Astyanax mexicanus: one gene and its partner. The protein of the gene in region 1 interacts with the protein of each later gene in a biochemical or structural test. Links are inferred from orthologs where the notes say so. Each region holds a gene or a part of one and is shown on either strand. Other genes may lie near its edges. The genes, in order: hip1 and cltb.

The links.
Region 2: the proteins of hip1 (region 1) and cltb form a complex in vitro, tested with the Homo sapiens proteins (2 studies listed by BioGRID, with this or other methods). The link is inferred for Astyanax mexicanus from reciprocal best matches to the Homo sapiens genes HIP1 and CLTB.

Annotation. Positions count from the first base shown.
Region 1 is NC_064425.1:13,905,010-13,914,645, reverse strand, and holds the start of hip1 (huntingtin-interacting protein 1), read left to right. Parts: upstream 1-5,679; 5' UTR 5,680-5,953; coding exon 5,954-6,073; intron 6,074-9,636. Other genes in the region: clptm1 (cleft lip and palate transmembrane protein 1 homolog), read right to left, coding at 2,367-2,420. UniProt on the Homo sapiens protein: Plays a role in clathrin-mediated endocytosis and trafficking. Involved in regulating AMPA receptor trafficking in the central nervous system in an NMDA-dependent manner. Regulates presynaptic nerve terminal activity.
Region 2 is NC_064426.1:2,413,453-2,423,461, reverse strand, and holds the start of cltb (clathrin light chain B), read left to right. Parts: upstream 1-6,028; 5' UTR 6,029-6,331; coding exon 6,332-6,470; intron 6,471-8,563; coding exon 8,564-8,613; intron 8,614-8,831; coding exon 8,832-8,949; intron 8,950-9,576; coding exon 9,577-9,688; intron 9,689-10,009. Other genes in the region: pdlim7 (PDZ and LIM domain protein 7), read right to left, coding at 3,779-3,799. UniProt on the Homo sapiens protein: Clathrin is the major protein of the polyhedral coat of coated pits and vesicles.

The DNA of each region.
Region 1 (9,636 bases):
AGCTAGCCAGCTTCACCCATACGTTTTGCTTTTCAGGTGTTCATCAATACACATGTCAACATAATATCCGTTTCAATTATTGGCCAAATCTTAACATCTACCAAAAGTCAATTTTACCCAATTGTCTCCGGACACCAATATGATTTCAAGATTACTATAAATTATTGCTAATAACAGGAATAACACCATAAAGCACTATGACTGACAGTGATCAATATTATTATTCTGGATGTCAATACTTGAGGCACAAGTCTACTTAAAGAGATGAACAGCAGACGTGCCACGACATCGGCAGCTTCACAATCTTTGAAAATCATTCAGCCATCGCTGACCAGCAAAGATCGAACTAATCAGATCCCAGACTATTTTAATCTCTCACAGCCCAGAATGTGGGGAAGGGCTGAAACATCTCAAAATGTAGCAAGATGTGTGGGAATGGAAGCTCCACCACTTTACTCGACAACTGATATGGAATAAAATTTGTAAATAATAATTTTAAAAACTTCAACCAATAATATTATTAGCGAAACATTCCTTCATGAAAAAATAAGACACTAATATATGACAAATGGTGATCGTGAGGTACTACTTTTCTACTTAGTTTCTCTGACCCCGATAAAAAAAAAATATTAAATTATATGAAATAAAACAGCGCAATTATCAGCTAATATGGGCACTAACACTCTCAACCAAGACCAAATAACACTACACACACTTTACACAAGGTATTTCACTAAACGTCCAACACTTTTACCCACCTATAATTAAACCTTACATAATAACAGCATTAGGTCAATATTTTTTAACACATTACACTCAAACTCATGGGACCTGATTATGATGATTATGATGAAACACGGAAACACAAGGAAGTGGACTCTCCTGACAGAGTGAATGATTAAACACGTGTTGCTTCAGGGCTCAGCTGCAAATTAGCTAGTTTTTTAACCTACTGGAGTGACCCATAGGCCCACCAAGTAGGCCTTACGCCCTGAGTTCTTAAGTGGAATGTGGTGTTTAACTAAAAGCCGTAATTAAGGCAAAACCAGATGTTGTATCCGGATTTAAAGCTTAATTCATCTGAAGAGACAACAAAATCAGCTGATGGCGTGTAATAATAAGCCTACGAGTATTTAAGTAGCTAGTCGAGGGGGTGTGAAGTCGTGAGTGGGAAAGACACTATAGCTTTAGAAATGACTAACTACGAGAAATAATCCGTCAAGCTGTAATGTTAATGATTGGCTGTGACAGGACAGATTAACTGATTTGTTAGCTAGTCTAGCTGCAGCTAGTCTGGCCCTCTGGCACAGGCTGGAAAAATATTATCTAGTCTAATAGCTTTTATTGATTGTATATAACGCTGATCAATGAGCCATAAAATACTCAGCTAAATAACTAACTAACGGTTGGTGGCTTAGCTAACGCAGGCTAAATAGGTTAGCTAGTTAGCGAGCTAGCCATTAGAATGACTGAGCCCATTAGCCTATGATAAGCTAATTAAGATAGCTAACTAGCTAGCTGGCTAACAGTTGGCCACACTGAAGCCGTTAAAATTCAATAACATCCAGACTAAACACACAGTTTAGACTAGCTAACCTAATTAGCTAGAGCTCTTGCTTTCTATTGTGGGATATAGCTAAACTAGCTAACGAGCTAAAACGACGGGTTAGTAGTTACCAGCTAGCTTAGCTAACAAGCTAGTCTACGGCACACGCAGCAGACTGCGAGGCTAGCGCTAGCTATGCTCGTTAGCCCGGTGTTCTGACGAGTAGTTTACCCATCGATATGCGCTTCCTACCGGTACTGCGCATGCGCTGAACCCACATAATATATATATTCTTCAAAATGTTTTCATGTGTTTTTGTGATAATTCTATTTTACATTAGGGCTTTACACAACAGGGACTGAATTTCATTATTGGCTTGTTACAAAAAGTGCAAATGTCAAGCAGTTCATTATACAAAACTGAAAAATAAAACCCAGTTTCCAAGCACCTTTACCTGATAACGTTACTTCACCTGATTTAGGCTTTAAGCCAATAGGTATACCCTTTCTACAGTTTTGCTAGGAGGTTGTTCTAATCTGTTGCTTTATTTTGTATTTTATTTTTAATCTACCTTTTAAATTATACACTAGTGTAGCACAATTTGACACTGTAGCATAACTCGACAGAACACCGGCTTTAGCCCAGTGCAGAGAGCCGGAGCGCCGCGGGGCCGGCGGTGCTGACCGGCTCCAATCTCTCCCAATCCCGCAGCGAAGCAGCGGTGCCCCGCTCCCCCACACACCCAGAAACAGTGCCGAGGGTCTCCTGAAACAGAACTACCCGCTGTTTAATCCCACAGCGCGGCCGGAGTCTCTCTTACCTCGCCGTTGCTCACGGTCGGCTGCTGTGTTGCTTCAGTCTCCTGCGCCGCCATCTTACCTGCCTCTGTCGCACACTGTAATGCGGCGTTAAACGGTGGGGAGCAAGTCGCGCGAGAACTGTGCAGAGCAGGCGCGTGAATGGCTGAATCTCGCACGACGAGCAGGAGATCTCGCGTGATCTGTCGTGTGCTTTAATTAATAAGGTTTTAGATAGGTTAGGTTTAGCAAGATTTGTTGTCTATTTTAAGTCTCTGACTAAAGTATGCATCAGTTTACAGTGCAGTTAACGGCCAATAAATAATTAACGGTGCAAAAAATGCAACCTAGATTGCCGTTCCTGCAGAAACTGCGATTGTGATTGCAGTGCTGGTTGCTATGGTGTTGCTATGCGGTTGCTAAGGTATTGCTATGGTGGTATCTGTGTTGACTGTTATGTTGTTTCTAAGCGGTTGCTAGGCAATTGCAAAGTGTTGTTAAGGTGTTTTGTCCAAACTTTTGAGCCTGGCTATGGACGCTAGGTTGCTCTGGACATGTGAGATGTCCAAATGTTTGAGCAGTAGCTGGTTTATCCAGCAGCTCTGCCATACACACACAGTACTGGTGCACTGACTGGCATGCCGGGGCGTCAAAACGTTTGACCAGTAGCTGCTCCATACAGCAGCTCCTCCATACACACAAACACTACTGTAGCCCTGGTGTGTGAGATGGAACGTTGGGGCCGCTCATTCCTATGGGGCAAATTCGTATGGCAATTGTACAGAAAACATACATCGGATCATTTTGTACAGCATATTTTCAGAAAGAATACGATAAGTTCTATAGGCCTGCCAAATTTGGCCTTCTTATCCCAAAAATTGTGATGTACATGGGCGTTCAGATTTCTCCCTGTCATTTTCAAATGGGCAAAAAAGCGGACCATATGTCAATCAAAAAGCTGTATACAAGCCCACCATTCCCAATAAGGATGCATATTTGTACCATTGAGTCAATATCTCAAACATTGTGGCAATAGTTAGTCAGACAAAAATCCAGAATAATAATAATAATAATAAGAAGACTTCAGAAGAACAGCACTGTGTTATATTGCACACTACAATCACACTAATAACTTTGTTTATAAAACAAACTGAACTAGTGTGCTTATATAAGAACCTATATATATATATATATATATATATATATATATATATATATATATATATATATATATATATATATGTAGATTAATATCGTCATAGTTCAATGAGAAACAAGTATCTTCTTTTGTAGATTTTTAGTTTACTACATAATTTGAACACACAAACTGTCTCAAAATTTTTTATAAAAAATCAACCAATAGAAATTCTCCAAAATCAACAGAATTAAGGTGATTTCTTCTTTTTATATTTATTTTTATTTACAGTTAAGAAGATTTTATCTTTCTCCTGTAAAGCTGCCAATTTAAAGATACATGCTTTTCATTGGACAGCAACCATATGTAATGTAAATACGCACATACTAGGGGTGGGTGAAATGGTCCTAAAATAATACCACAATATTTCAGGGTATTTTCTTTATCAGTATATTCAGTGCGTGTAAACTCACTGTTTTTTTTTTTGTTTGTTTCATTGTAGGGCATACTTTATTCCTTACATATATACTATTCAGCAAAAACATTCTGCTATTATACTGCATTTTAAGCTAGTGCACCTGGAAGGTCTTAAAAGATCAACACAAAAAACATCTCTTAATTCTTCGTCATTTACTGCTAATTTTAACCCACGTTTGTGGAATCAGTGGAGTCTTGAACACAAACAGCAGGTGGTGTAGGTCTGCACTTTTCCTCTGTGCCTGTGGCAGGAGATTTTGTGCTGAATTGCTGTAAACCGATTGGTTTGTTTTTTGCTGAGAGTGGGGTGAAGATGAATATCCCTTACACATGACTGTCACTTTAAAACACCATTTCACCCATCCTGTGTAACCTCACTCTGACTGTGTCATACAATGCATTTTGCAACACTGAGAAATTTAATTACAGCTCTGTCTGTGACAGAGTGTGTTTAAATGTCTGAATCAGCTTCTACCTTAATTACACCTCTCCACTTTTTTTCCATTTTTTAAACATATTCTTCTCTCATAATGATTGTAAAGGGATGACAATGTTGCCTTTTTAAACTCTACTCACGAGAGAAGCATCCTCCAATTTTAGTGTCAGCTGTGTCTCAAAGCCTAGAATGCCTTACATTGCATAACATTACAATGCATTTAGCAGACCCCTTTATCTAAAGTGACTTTAAAATAATGAGGTACATCTCTTATTTCTCAGCCTCAGTGAAAACCCTTTATATACAGCCAAGAAAAACAGTCAAGGGTGGGAGTGAATTCAAGAATGCAGCTGATGTATGCTTCATGTTACTCAATTACCTAGAGTTCACTGTGCATGAACACAACATGAAAAAAAGTTTGCTTTAAAATGTCAGTTTTCATAATAATAATTAGTTTATATGATGAAATACATTTGTAACCACAAAGTCTTGTTAGACTGTTCCATTTGTATTGTTTTTACATATTAGCTAGGCAGATTTAGCTATGCCGCTCAGCTGCTCTCAGCTGTTTTAACCCAAAGAAAGCAATGCCAATTGTGCCCTCTCAGTCCCTGTCAGCTGATGGCGTTTGTTTTCTTCTTTTTCATTCTTGACTGAGACTGTAAAACAAACCCATGGCATCAAAAATGTTCAATCAAACTCTGGCTGATGATGTTGAGCAGCATGACCTGGTATTCGAACCAGTGATCTTCAGATTAGATCATAGAAACTGTTTTTTCTTTCTTTTTTTCTGCCCCTCAGGGTCTAAATTTTAGGAAAAATGTAAAAAAAAAAACAAAAAAAAACTTGATTTTCAGAAATCTTTTTTTTTTATATTTTATGAAATTTAAATTGTGAAGGAGCAGAAATAAAAATAGAAAAATAGGGAAAAAAATAGAAAATTCTTAATTTCCAAAAACAAACAATCCATAAAACAATCTAAACTAAATATTTATGTTGCAGTACAGCTCATTCTTTTACAAACAAATTATTTCAATATATTGTAGTGGATACAGCCTTTTTGTTACGAAGAAAATGACAAAGATACTTTGTAAATAAATTAAATTCAGTAAGAAATGCATTTAAAAAAATCAAATTATTAAATGTAGGTCCAAATAGTCAGAAGATTGAAGCAATGTACATTACACTGGCCTCAAGGGGCGGGGATAACAGATTGTTTAAGCAAATCACGGGCGGCGCGGGGCGGGGCCTGTGCGTGTTGCTGGCTGTGGATGTGGGCTGCTGATTCGTAAACTGTGTTGTGGTTCGTGCAGCGGTGGGAGTGATTTAGTGATCAGTGAAAATATGTAGGACTCTCTCAGACTTCGACCAGAGCAGGAACACGGCCAGACAAACAGATACACAGATACACGCAACGGGGCCTGGAGCTGAGCTGTGGACGCAGAAAATGACCGTCTCCTGCGGAGAGGGATTTTATAGTCGCTCTGTTTTGCGCGTGGTTGTTTATTAGCTCGCTCTGCACCGGAGGCAGTTTCTCAGTATTCTTGGATTTATCCCACAAAATGGACCGAGTGAAGAGCTCCATCCAGCAGGTCCCCAACCCCATCCCCAAAGTCCTGAGTCGCCGCGCTGGAGGGGCCAACAGTTTAGAACTTGAAAAGGAAAACTTTGAGCGGAGCCAGGTGGGTTAAATGACTGAATTACTAAATCACCAACTAACTAACATGGTCTCCGGTTTGTAACTGCGGGTTATTGTGCAGTTTTAGCTCAACTAATATAACGCGTGAATTTGAATGTTCGGCTAAATTTATAAAACGACGCGATTTGTATTTTAGCGGAATTTTAAGCTGCAACGAGCTGCACGCGCCAGTTAGCTAATTTAACTAACGGCAAGTTCGCTGTTTTCACGGTAGCTAGCGTTAGCTCGAGACTGTCCATTTTTGCTAAGTTACTTTGTCAAACCGTTATTTCCTAGAGTATATTTATAGGTGAAAATACAAAAAAAGTAAGTTAAAAAAAGTAAGTTAAGGCAATATAGTCAGGTGAATTAAAACCGTTTTTATAGTTTATTTTTTATATATTTTATTATATATATATATATATATATATATATATATATATATATATATATATATATTTTTTTTTTTTTTTTTTTTTTAACACGACTGGAACAATCAAAGTAAACAGTGTTAGTGCGCTCGGATTGTATAATCCACCTCAGAAAAAAAACATTATTATTAGCTAAAATTATCAGAAAAAACGCACGAAAACAGTAAAAATAAGAGGTAACGCATGCGCAGATCCGCTAAGTAGCCCATATCGATGAGTAACACAACTCGACAGTTCGGTCAAGTTTAGCTAACTTACCTTGTCAAACCGTGCTACCCCAGAGTATCTTTTAAAATGTATTTAAAGCTAAAAAAAAAAATACAAAAAACACTATATAAGGATTTTTTTTACTGGTAGAAGTCTAGGTAGGATGTTTGTATAGGATAAATCACTGTATTATGTGTATGTTACAGTCAGAAAGTTTTTTTTTTGCCAGTATTTTAAGTAGCAATTTACAGTTTGTAACATTCAAGGAGGTAGTTTAATGCACTCAAGTGAAACTGAATTAGTACAAAAAAATGTGGGTGGGTGCATGCGCAATGCCATTATGCGATGGATAGCATGATGGATAACTCAGTAGAACACAGGTGTTGTGCCGAATTCAGCACCCCCGCCAGTAAAAGCACCCCCTTTTGGAGTGTATTTCAAAGTTAAGTTAAAGCGCTGCAGGTGACATGACTATTTTTCATTATTTCTTAGGAGTCAGAACAGCATCTTAGGTATTTTCATTTTCTAAAAAAAGTTAAAGAAGACTGCACACTCCCGAGAGGGGGTGCTTTTCCTGATGGGGGTGCCGAGTTCAGCACAACACTGGCAATAGCCTAGTGTACTAATCTTGATATTTACCCACACAATATTAATCAGAACTCCATTAACTGATTTTCTGAGTAAATGATAAAACACTGAGATCATGGGAAGCTCTATTTATTAATTTACCTAGCTAATTTACCTGTTGTTTGCTTTAACCAGATTTAGTCCCCATTAGGTTATTTGTCCTTGCGGCAAAATAGAAAATACTAGCTTCTTTTATTTAGGTTAGCTACCTAACAGTACCACAATAAAGCAAGTAGTTAACTAGCTTAGGTTAGCAAAGAAATTATATCATTTATATCACCACACTAAAATCACTGCCTTATAAAAATAAACCACTGTTTAGTTCAGCATGTTTACAGGCATTGAGTTTCTCTCATCAGTCAGGAATAGACTCATACCTAACCTAGGTTATTTAACCACTTAACCTAGCTAGCAATATGTAATATATCTTTTCATAGGTGTCCCCAACAAAATAAGTGAAACTCACTTAGCTAGCTAAATGTCCTCCATAATTTATAAATAATTTGATAAGTTATCTATTTCTTTTATCATAAAGACAGAGCGCAAAAATATATGGCTAATGCTAAATTAGACAGTTAATCATTTAACCACTAGCTAACCTATATTTACAGTTGTCCCCGCTCAAAAACATTTCAAAGCATATATGTGCGTGTATATATTGTAGTATGTATTGTTCCTTTAAAGTCTGCTTTAGTGTATGTGTAGCTTTAAGTAGCTTTTGTCTATGTGACTGTAGCCGGTGGTGATAATGAGTCATCTTTACACAGCATTATCTCACTTCTTTTTATCTGTAAGGCTGGAATTGTTCAGGTGATGAAGGACTCCCAGAATTCTTCCTGCTATACACTTAGCTATGTGGCAAACCTTTGCTCATTGAATTCCATAAGGCTCACACAGGCTCATACACACCCTGACTTTATCACTAGCTGTCAGCCCTAATTTAGTGACATCCTACGACAAAAATGGCCAAAGGTCTAATCAGCTTGTACTTGTTGACATTTTTTAAGCATACAATTACAGTAGCTAGTTCAATGGTGTCATTACTTATGGATGCACAGTATTGAAATTCTGGGATGCTTCTGATGATCCAGTGTTCTTTTGTACATATCTGTCGATGCTATTACATAAACATCTGGTGGTGGACTAGATATGCCTGCTTTAGCATTTCAGCTGAGACAAAAAATCTTACAGGACTTTACAGGAGAAGTGAAAATCTGGGATGCACCTAAATATTATGTTTTGCCTGAAACCGAACAAAATGAAAAGCTTTTACAAAACTGCCATTTTTAAATTATTTATTAAACACTGAACATTTTAACTTCTTAGCAGATATAGGTACAAATCAGTGTCAATTTAGCCATTTTTTAAATAAAAAATCTTGGTTGGAATATATTTAGTGCATTTCGAGTAAATCATAAAAAAATCAACTGTTCAATGTTAACAGTCAGTAGAAAGTCTTTAGAGCATTTCTACTGGTCCATTCCTTACAACATTTTGAGAACAATATCTATGTACACAGTGTATATGATATATTGGTGTAGGCCTACTAATGAAAGAAATCTAAGAAAAGACCCAGGTTTTTTATGTAGTATTCTGGCAAAAGTCAGTTTAAAGCATAAGTAAAAATGACTGATTACTGACACTTTGTCATTTTCTTTGCAATGTTTTTGCATCATCAATATAATAATATATTACAATAAAGTAACATTAAAAAAGCGTGTCAGTAATTAGATGAAGGTCGAGGATAGTTTCTCAGACACTTCCCTGCTGATGTACATTTATCCAGCTGGACAAAGAGGAACTGTTAGAAGCTGTTAGAGAAAAGGCAACATCAATAAAACCAGTAAAATGATTGTGGATCGAATGACTGGACTGTGGCCTACAAGGTGGAAGTGATGGTGAGAGTGAGAGTGAGTGCTGCTTTTTTGGCACCAAACTGCTTTGGCAATTCTGAATCTCGTATCTCGATATCCAGCCAAGCCATACAGTGTGTTCAGAAGACTGAGGGAAACATAAAAACATTCTCATTGTGCTCGTGAGCTTCCCACCACTCTGGGGGTCCTCCACCCCCTCCCCATTCCGAGACAGCTAGCGAAAAGTAGGTCACACCATGCAAGCTGCATTACACTGCTCTGCTGGTGTTCTCATCGTAGTATTTTAAACACTGCAGCTGAAAGCCTAGCTCTTTTCTTATCTTCCTTTCTGCATGTTGTTATACAGTTAGGTCAATAGATAGTTGGACAGTGACCCAATCTTCATGATTTGGGCCCTGCATACCACTACACTGGATTTAAAATGAAAC
Region 2 (10,009 bases), on another chromosome or scaffold:
CCAAGGGAGGTGGAGAGAGAGAAAGAGACACCCTCAGAACTATTTCAAGCAGAAGAACTGACGTACCACAGCGTACCACAAAAAAAAAAAAAAAAAAAGTACTTAGAACTGAACAATGTTTTTATCTTCATCTTGTCACAATAATAATTACCGAAGTTGGCCTCCACTGTGTGTGTGGGGGGGGGGGGGGGTGGATTTGGGGGTTGATATATCTGAATATCTCCCATCACTAGTGATGTCACAACACAAGGAGGATGAAGACTGAAGACTAGCACATGGCTCCTCCATACTAATACTACCAAATGATACTTTCCCCCAATATCACCCAACGTCCGCCCCTAGACTCAGTCTTGCGTCAAGATTTACGGTTGAAGTAACTCAAATCAGATTTTTTCTCATTTTTGCTCAGATCTGATTTTTTTCATTACTATGTGAACATGCCAAATCCGATTTTCTCAAATCATATATTTGAGTCACTTTTATATGCGGTCCTAAATCGGATAAGTATCCGATCCACGGATATGCGACATGAATGTGAACAGTCAAATCTGAATTCATGAGGAATTCTTTTTGCTTTTACGCTTTAGCATTAGCGCTACGTGCTTCTCTCTCGTACCCACACTGCATCTCTTGGTGCAGCTGTGCAGCTAAAGCTGCAAAAAAACAGCAAAAGCAAACCGCCTGCCCTTTTTTTCTAATATGAGGGTTTTCTTTGTTGTTGGTGAAGAAGGATGTGCAGCATGTGAGACGGTGTTTCAGGAACAGATTCGTTCACAATACACACAGATACGGATCACTTAAATACATTTGTGAATGTGAACCATCAAGAAAACACACAGAAACAAAAGTGTTGGTCTAAGCTGACCACTTCCACAGAGGCTACTTCACTGCACATCAGCTGGAGAAAGTCTCTGAGGCTCTAAAAGTGTCCTCTGGAAATTGGAGAATGGCAGGGTTCACATGGGCATGGCAAGTATAGGTTGCAGTTTCCTAGTCAAACCTCTTCTCAGTACTCTCTCCTTCTTTCTGGTAGCAATACATAATAAGCAGGACTGAAGCCTTCCAACACTCCAACACTTAAACATGAAATCAAGAATCTACAAGAGTTAGTGTTAGTGACAAAACAGAAGAACCACATGTGTAGCACGTGTGTTACACTAGAGCACTATTAGTTTATCGTGATCTTTGAAATCTTTGATTTTATCAAATTGAAAACCTCTGGAATATAATCAAGAGGAAGATGGATGATCACAAACCATCAAACCACCAAACTGAACTGTGTGGAGAGTGGTGTAAGTGGTGCAGTGTGTAAGACTGGTGGAGGAGAACATGATGCCAAGATAAAGCATGAAAACTGTGACTAAAAAACAGGGTTATTCCATCAAATATTGATTTCTGAACTCTTCCTAAATTAATATGAACTTGTTTTCTTTGCATTATTTGAGGTCTGAAAGCTCTGCATCTTTTTTGTTATTTTAGCCATTTCTCATTTTCTGCAAATAAATGCTCTAAATGAGAATATTTTTATTTGGAATTTTGGGAGAAATTTTGTCTTTAGACTTATATTGGTGTGCTGCACCACATCAACCACTAATACCAAATTAATAACCAATTTACATCCCATTTGTGTCAAATGATTTGGAATTTAGACCCAAATTAAAAGGTTTCTCTCAGCCTGATAAAACTCACTCAAACATCTTTAATGTGTTGGAATTTAGACAAATGGACAACTTATTCTTTCTATTTTAAAAACTATTTAGAGGCTATTTTATTGCGTTTAAATGTGTTTAATTGCATTACTGCCCTACACATCTAATTACGTCTATTTGGGATTCAGACTAAATTTAAAATGGGGGTTTTCTCAGGCCGAGAGAAACTAAAACCTCCCTGATGAGTTTAAAATAGTTAAAATAGAGTTATCCCCTCATTCTTACACAATCAAACCTCCTTAATGTGTTAAAATTGGGATTTATAGACTACTCATTCTGTCAAGTTGGGTGCATACCAAAAGTAAAATGCATTTTTATCAATTTAGCATGCTTTTTATGCTAAATATGTGTATTTTTGGGATAAAGGCCTTTTCACAGGCTGACAAAACTGAAACCTCTCTAATGGGTAAAAAGTACATAAGGTCAGTCTTCTAAAAACTAAGTATGTGCCTATTTAAGTTAAGTTTTAGACTCAATCTAACACAACTCAAACCCCCTGAATGTGTTTAAGTGCATTAAGTCACTGCCCAATACATCCAATTAGTGTCTATTTGGGATTTAGACCAGATGAAAAAGCTTGTCTCAGGCTGAGAGAAACTCAAACCTTCCTAAAAACTAATGGGGGTCGTGTAATGACATGTTGGCTGCCAAGAATAATGACAATGAAGCGTAATTAAGGGTAATGACCACTTCCCGAGAGGTTCAACAGCACTGCAGCAGCCACAGTGTAAACTGCTGCATGAGCAGCTGTATGAATGAATGAAACTGTTAATGAATAGCTTGAAAGCTGTTATTATTTTTTATTTTTTTTAAGTTTTGTGGGTAGAGAAGCCTGAAAGAAGAGCATAAAGCAGATAGAAATACAGTAGGAAAGTTTAAAGCTAAATTGTAGTGCTGTAGTAATACTACTAAAAGTCTTGGTCTTGAATCAAATTAAACAACTTTAAATCCTAGAATCAACTAGTAAAAATCTTGGTCTAGATTCGCATCTGATGCGTCCCCGTCTCAGTATTGACTCAGACTGAATACTCAAAGCCTCAGTCTTGGTTCAAACTTAACTATTCAAAGTCTTGGTCTTGACTTGATTTAAATTACTAAAAGTATTGTGCTTGACTAAAATTAAACTCCTAAAACCCTTAGTCTTGACTTGATTTAAATTACTAAAAGTATTGTTCTTGACTAAAATTAAACTCCTAAAAGAGTCTTGAATCGGGCTTTTAGTTTCCCAGTTTTGTTTCAAACTCTAAAACTATAGAAAGTCTTGGTCCTGACTCAGATCTGATGTGTACTGGTCTCAGTCTTGAATTTGAATCGACAACTCAAAATCTTGGTCTTGACTCAGACTCTACAACCATGAGTCTTGGTCTAGACCCAGACTATACAACCTTGAGTCTTGGTCTAGACCCAGACTATACAACCTTGAGTCTTGGTCTAGACCCAGACTATACAACCTTGAGTCTTGGTCTAGACTCACACTCTATACCATGAGTGTCGGTCTAGGCTCAGACTCTACAACCATGAGTCTAGGTCTAGATTCAGAGACTAATTACTCAAAGACTCAGTCTTGACTCAAATTCAACTACTCAAAGTCTCGGTCTTGAATTAAACTACAAAAAAAATCCTGGTCTTGACTGAAGAATAAACTAGTAAAAATCTTGGTTGTGACCCACATCTGATATGTCGCGTTCTTGACTAAAATTAAACTACTAAAAGGCTCAGTTTTGACTAAATTGAAACTAGCAAAAGCTTTGTTTGTGACTAAAATTAAACTACTCAAAGCCTCAGTCTTGAATCAGGCTTTTTGTGTCCCAGTTTTGTTCTTGACTCAAACTCGGCTATAGAAAGTCTTGGTCTTCACTCAGACGTGATAACAGTTACTGAAGTCTTTGTGTTGACTCGGATCGGATGTGTTTTGAGTATAAAACTATGTTTCTGGCAGTTGTTGATAAATAAATCTGTAGGTTAGTGATTGTCCGCAGTGTTAGTGTTGTTAAAGCTGTTTTAAACTCCGCTCTGAGTGTTATGGTTTTCTGGTTCAGTAAGAATCTGCAGCGCTGGTGATGAATTACCTCCTTGGTGTCTCCGGACATGGTGATCAGGCTCCGGGCGGGCGGCGGGTGGAGGCTGTAGGGTAGCGGGGCTGGAGCTGTAGTGTAGCCGGGTTCAGGCTGTAGTTCAGCGGGGTGGAGGTTCGGGTAACTCCGCTCAGCAGCGCGCGCTCTCCCTCTACCACCACTTTTAGCAGGACTCACCGATACGTCATCCACCACGTGTGCGCGTGACGCGGCGCTCTCCGCTTGCCGTTATTTTTTTCCCCACCGGTTTTCCGACATGTCCCGCCCCTGCGGGCCTCTGACTGGCCTTGACGGTTGATAGCCTAGCTCTCTGATTGGTTAAAAGTTTGTACTCAGCGTTCACTACAATGCTATCTGTTTAGATAATATTTATCATTAATTTAAGATACTAATACATTATTTTTTAGATGATATTTCCTTATTTCGAGATACAAAAAAAATGTTTTGATTAGCTAGTATCTCATTATTTTACTATCTTTAGATATCTCATTATTTCGAGATACTAATGTATTGTTTTGAGATAAATTCTCTTTTTTTTAGATGCTATGGCATTATTTTGAGAAAGTAATTCATTATTTTTAGAAGCTATCTCACTAGTTTAGATGCTATCTCATTTTTTTGGAATATTAAATTATGTTTAGATATTAGGCTATTATTTTTATATATACTAAGTCATTTGAAGATGATTTTCTTACATAATGACAAATATCTTAAAATAGGGACTTTTATCAGTGCCACAAGTAGAATCATTTTTTGTTCCATAAATAATCATTTTTGTTGTATAAAAAAGTTTATATTAGTTATTAATCTTAACATTCACTTATTTAAACCTTTAAATATGAAACCTTTAACTTATACTTATTTTACTTATTTGCTTCACTTTTTTCACTGTGCAACTATGTGCAATATATACACGGCAGTACAACAGTTATATATTAACTGTCACACCACACTCATATTTCTTTTGTAAATATGGCTCTTTATAGAATTAAACATTCTTAATTGACAATATTTTATGTGTAAAACCAAAGCTGATTTTTTTCCTTAAATTAGTCCATTTAGGATTTAAAATAAGAACTCAATCCTCCCCAGTGTGCTGAAAGAGTGTGAGGGCTGATAGCCTCGCACTCTTATTGGCTAAAAAGTTTGCAGAGGCGTGGCTTTGCGTAAACGGGTGGGTAAAAAAACAAGGTGTGTCGTGCACCTTTATACTGTGAACTTCTAAGCCACACTTATACACGTATTACACACATACAGTCACGTAGTGAATCAGGAAACCCCACGAAAACCTGTCTTTTAATATATAAACCTTTTTCACAATACTAATTAATTGGCACAATAAACACATAACAGAGAAGGTAAATAATTTTATCAAAAGTATTTAAAATGAATTTCTAAAAATGAATGAATAAAATAAAACAAAACCCCCCATTTTGTAAATTGCTTCTGTATTTTTATTTAAATTGGCCTCAATTACAGAATTAATTAAGTAAAAAGTAGTTTTAAAAGTGAATGCACCTACAATGCAAGCACATGTAAAAAAGGTTAAAAAAATTCCCAGATTTTTTTTTTCCTTTTTTTGTGTTCCCCATACACTATACACTTTATGCTGAGGTTTATCTGTTCCCTACACACACTCTACAGACCAAACAGAACAAAAGTATAAACAAAAGTATTTTCCTAATGCCGTCCATTTTCACCTGACAAAAAAAAAAAAAAAAAAACACTTGAACGCATGTCGTAATTACGAACTCCAACCTCGAAAGTAGGAATTTACGAGGAGGACTTGAAGGCAGCATGAACCCGCTGATTTTGGCTGATTCAAAAATGCTAAAAAAAAATGGTAGGGGTAGTTTGGGAGGGGCACTGCAGTGATGTATGGGTTTAGGGGCGGGGCAGAAGGAAGAGGTAATTGGGCTGAGCAGTGAGCAGTGTGCCTCTGGACGTCACCAGGGGGGCGATATTATCATACTTGCCTTTAGCAAAGTTAAATATAAGAAGGTGCTGTAGATGTCGAAATGACTGCAATAAAGAACATTTAGGAAATGTTTAATCAGGAATGACATGTTTAATTACTTCAGAGTAACACATTTTAATTTTTAATAAATAAATAAAAACCGTGGTTTAGGGTTTAGTGCCTCTTTAAAGCATAGTGATAAACTCCTAATAATAACAATAAAGGTTGTGGTGAGTGTGTTTACCACTAGTTAAGTACTGTATGTGTGTTCAGTCTGTTCCAGCAGATGGAGACACAACACCATACAATCAGCCCCAGCGTTAGAGTTATACTCTCCTCTCTGAGTTCTGACCTCGGCTCTCCTCCACGTCCCTGTTTTTACTGCTTTTCTGGGACGAAAGGGACGAATTAACCTCCAGCTGACCTGGTTTAAGAGTCCGGCTCGATTCAGGAGATAAACCAACTCTTTTTTCAACATATTTATTTAACTTGTTTTTCCTGCGTTTAAACCTGAACAAAGCCACAGCTGGAGCCTAAGAGAGCCCGGCCGAGGTCTGAGGAATAAAGCAGGTGTTTTCGCCGCGGTGAAGATGGCCGACGACTTCGGCTTCTCCAGCTTCTCCAACGGCGCCGAGGCTGAGGAGGACCCGGCCGCGGCCTTCCTGGCGCAGCAGCAGAGCGAGATCGCCGGCATCGAGAGCGAGGCGGACGGCCTGGGGCCGAGCGGAGGCACGTCGTCTGTCTGGGTGATAGCGTGTTAGCCTGTTAGCTTAGCTTAGCTTGTTAACATTAGAGTCTACACAGATAAAAAGAGTCTGGACAAGGCGATACAGTTAATTTAACAAGGTATAATAAAGCGAAAACAGGATTTTAACGTTTTAACACCAACAAGACACACATTGGCTCCTTAAAAGCGCTTAAAAAATACAAAACAATTAACCAATTTCTAAACAAGCTAGCAAGCTAATGCTAACGCTAAACAGCATCCAGCTGTTCAAATCAAGAGTCAAGTCAAGAGGCTTTTATTGTCATTACATCTGAGTACAGGTACACAGTGTGATGAAATTACGTTCCTCCGGAACCATGGTGCAACATAGAACCACAAGCAATAGACAACATAAAGTGTAGGAGTGACGACAGTGCAACATAAAATTATAAAATTATAACACTAAATAACAATAAATACAATAAATACAAAAGACGAGACAATTTAAAGTCAGGACAGTGCAGTACCGATACGGTATAATAAAGTGTATAGTGAGGATAAGGTGCAGAGATGTGTGACATACTGTAACATATAGAACATATATAATCACAGCAGTTACTGAGGTAGAGTTTATAGTTTTTAAGAGTGCAGCAAATAAAGTCATGTCAGCCTCTGTGTGCTGACTGGGTGTGTGTGTGGGTGAAGTTCAGTTCTTTGTGAGTGTAAAGGGGGGGGGGGGGGGGGTGTACAGTTTAGTTTTGTGCGAGTGTGTTGGGTGAGTGGTGGGTGGGGTGGGGGTTCAGTTCTGTCTCTGTGCGTTGAGAAGTCTGACTGCCTGGTGGATGAAGCTGTTGCAGAGTGAGTTAGCAGTAAATTATTAGTTTGATACCTTGGATACAAATGTAATTTATAAAAATTGTGACGTTCTCTCCTTTTAATACTGCTTCTCTATTTATTTTTCTATTTATTGTAAATTTATGAACACTTTATTTTGTTCTGAGCTGTGATTTTAATAAAAAGGATTCGTTAATCTTGATTAATCTTGAAAATATTGCACACAAGTGTGTATAAACTAATGGGATATATACATCTCTGAAAAAAATTTAGAGAGCACCTCAGTTACTGAATCAGTTTGTCTTATTTTGCTATGTGTAGGTTTATGTTTGAATAAAATGGACATTGTTTTATTCTATAAACTACAGACAACATTTCTCCCAAATTACAAATTAACTTATTGTCATTCAGAGCATTTATTTACAGAAAATGAGAAATGGCTGAAATAACAAAAAATAAGCAAAGCTTTCAGGCCTTTCATATTTATAATCATAAAGTTTAAAGAAAATCAGAAATCAATAATCCTGGTCTTAATCACAGTTTTACACACTGCTTTTGAATAACTTTATGCCACTCTTGTTGCAAAAATTCAAGCAGTTCAATTTGGTTTCCTTTTGATTATATTCCAGAGGTTTTCAATTTGCTAAAAATCAAAGAAACTCGTCTCAATTTTTTTTCCAGAGCTGTAGAGAAAACATTTTTAGGTTTAGTGAAGACAATGGAAATGACAGTTTCCATTAAACTCCAATTAAGGTGGAATATACTAAGTGTATCTTTAGTGGTGGTAGTGGTAGGTTCTGGTAGATTCCAATGCTGTGAGCGTTTCTCTACCTGGTTAGTTAACTAGTATATTACATCTTTACTGTTAAACTTTTGGTAACATAATTACTGTAAGATTCTGGTAGGTTCTAATGTAATGATCATTTAGGGTAATACATCTGGACTGTCAACGTCCCTGGTAGAATATCCGCTGGTGTATTCCACTAGGTTTCAGTGTTTTCAGCACTTTTTATATAAGGTATATTAACACTACTTACTGTAGTACACCTGAGCTTTTAAACTTCTGTTAAAATAACGTCTGTTGCCACCTCACCGAATGAGCAAGCTGATCATTCATCTCTGGTTTACATATAGGACTCAGTAACAGTCATATAGCCGGGCAGGTTTTACAGCATTCCTCTTCTACTAGTAGTTCTTCTGAGAGGAAATACGAAAAGCGTTGCTCAACAAGACCAGAACTCACAGGATTTTACAGTCTGTCTCTCTTCTTTTCTTAAATCAGATGCGTTTGGAGAAGCACCTGCTGCAGCAGTAAACGGAGACATGTTTGAGGTGTGTTTTTATGGTGTCATTTACTTTTTTTTAATTAAATGGAATATTGGATAAGGTAGATAATTTGTATGTTGTAGGCTGTTGTGCTGTAAGTGTGTAGTTTGTGTGTGGTTACTCAGTATAAATCAGTATACTCTGTATAAATCTACAATGTTTACAATGTGACCACCATAGATGGTCAATATATGTTTTCTAATGCTGTTTTATGAATGGTTTAGGACTCGAATGGAGTAACAGACAGCTATGCAGCCATCGCCCAGGTCGACCAGCTGAGGCAGGAGCCTGAAAGCTTGCGCAAGTGGCGGGAGGAGCAGAAGACCAGGCTGGAGGAGCTAGGTATACTTATTTATTTAATTATTTAAAGGTATATTAAAGTAGAATTTTAGTAAATAAAGTGTTCAGTATTTTCCAGACTATAAGACATACCGGATAAGCGACACTAGTAAGGATTCCTACATCGAAGTGAATAAGGGTGTCGCCATGTTTCCATTTATTTACAGTAAGCTTAGGTTTCCAGTATTTTGTCTAAGGGTGAGTTTTCAGTGAAGTGTCTCCAGCAATAAGGCTGGGTGCAGCTGCATTAGCATTAGCCGCCAACCGCAGCACTAGCAGGACGTAAAATGCCGCCCAATAGCGCTAGACTGAGGAATCCAGTGTTCTGATAAGCCAGGGTGGTATCAGCTTGCGGTTCTGCTAATGCTAATGCAAATGCTGCATTTTTAACTGGTAGAATTCATACATAAAGGGCACCTAATTGAATTTTTTTGGGAAATCTAAAGGATATTAAATGCGCCTTATAGTCCAAACAATACAGTAATTACATAGGTATTAAGACAGTAATAGATCATAATATATCATTTATTCATACAACTGCAATGTATGTGTAATTTACTAAAACTCGGAGAAAGCTAGAGAGACAAAACGAGAGAGCACAAAAAGAAATGTTTATTTTTTGTTCTGCAGATTCAGCTTCTAAAGCAGCAGAAGTTGAGTGGAAGGAGAAAGCGAAGAAGGAACTAGTGGACTGGAATCTGCACCAGCAAGAACAGATGGAGAAGAACAAAGTGAACAACAGGTATTTCTACCCAAATACACCTGCGTTCAGTAATCCAGGAATAGTACTTATCTTTAACTGTCTTTCTTTTTGTTTTTATTTTCGTAAACAGCACTTGTAGCAGAGATATGTCTATAAAATACACTGTATAACGCCTAAGAATACAAATAAATCCGGTGAAATGAAAACAGTTTTTGCTATTTATAGGTATAGGTTTGAGTAAAATGAACATGTTTTTTTTTTATTATATAAACTATATTAATCACAGTTTTTTTCATGCATCTTGGCATCATGTTCTCCTCCTCCACCAGTCTTACACACTGCTTTTGGTTAACCTTATGC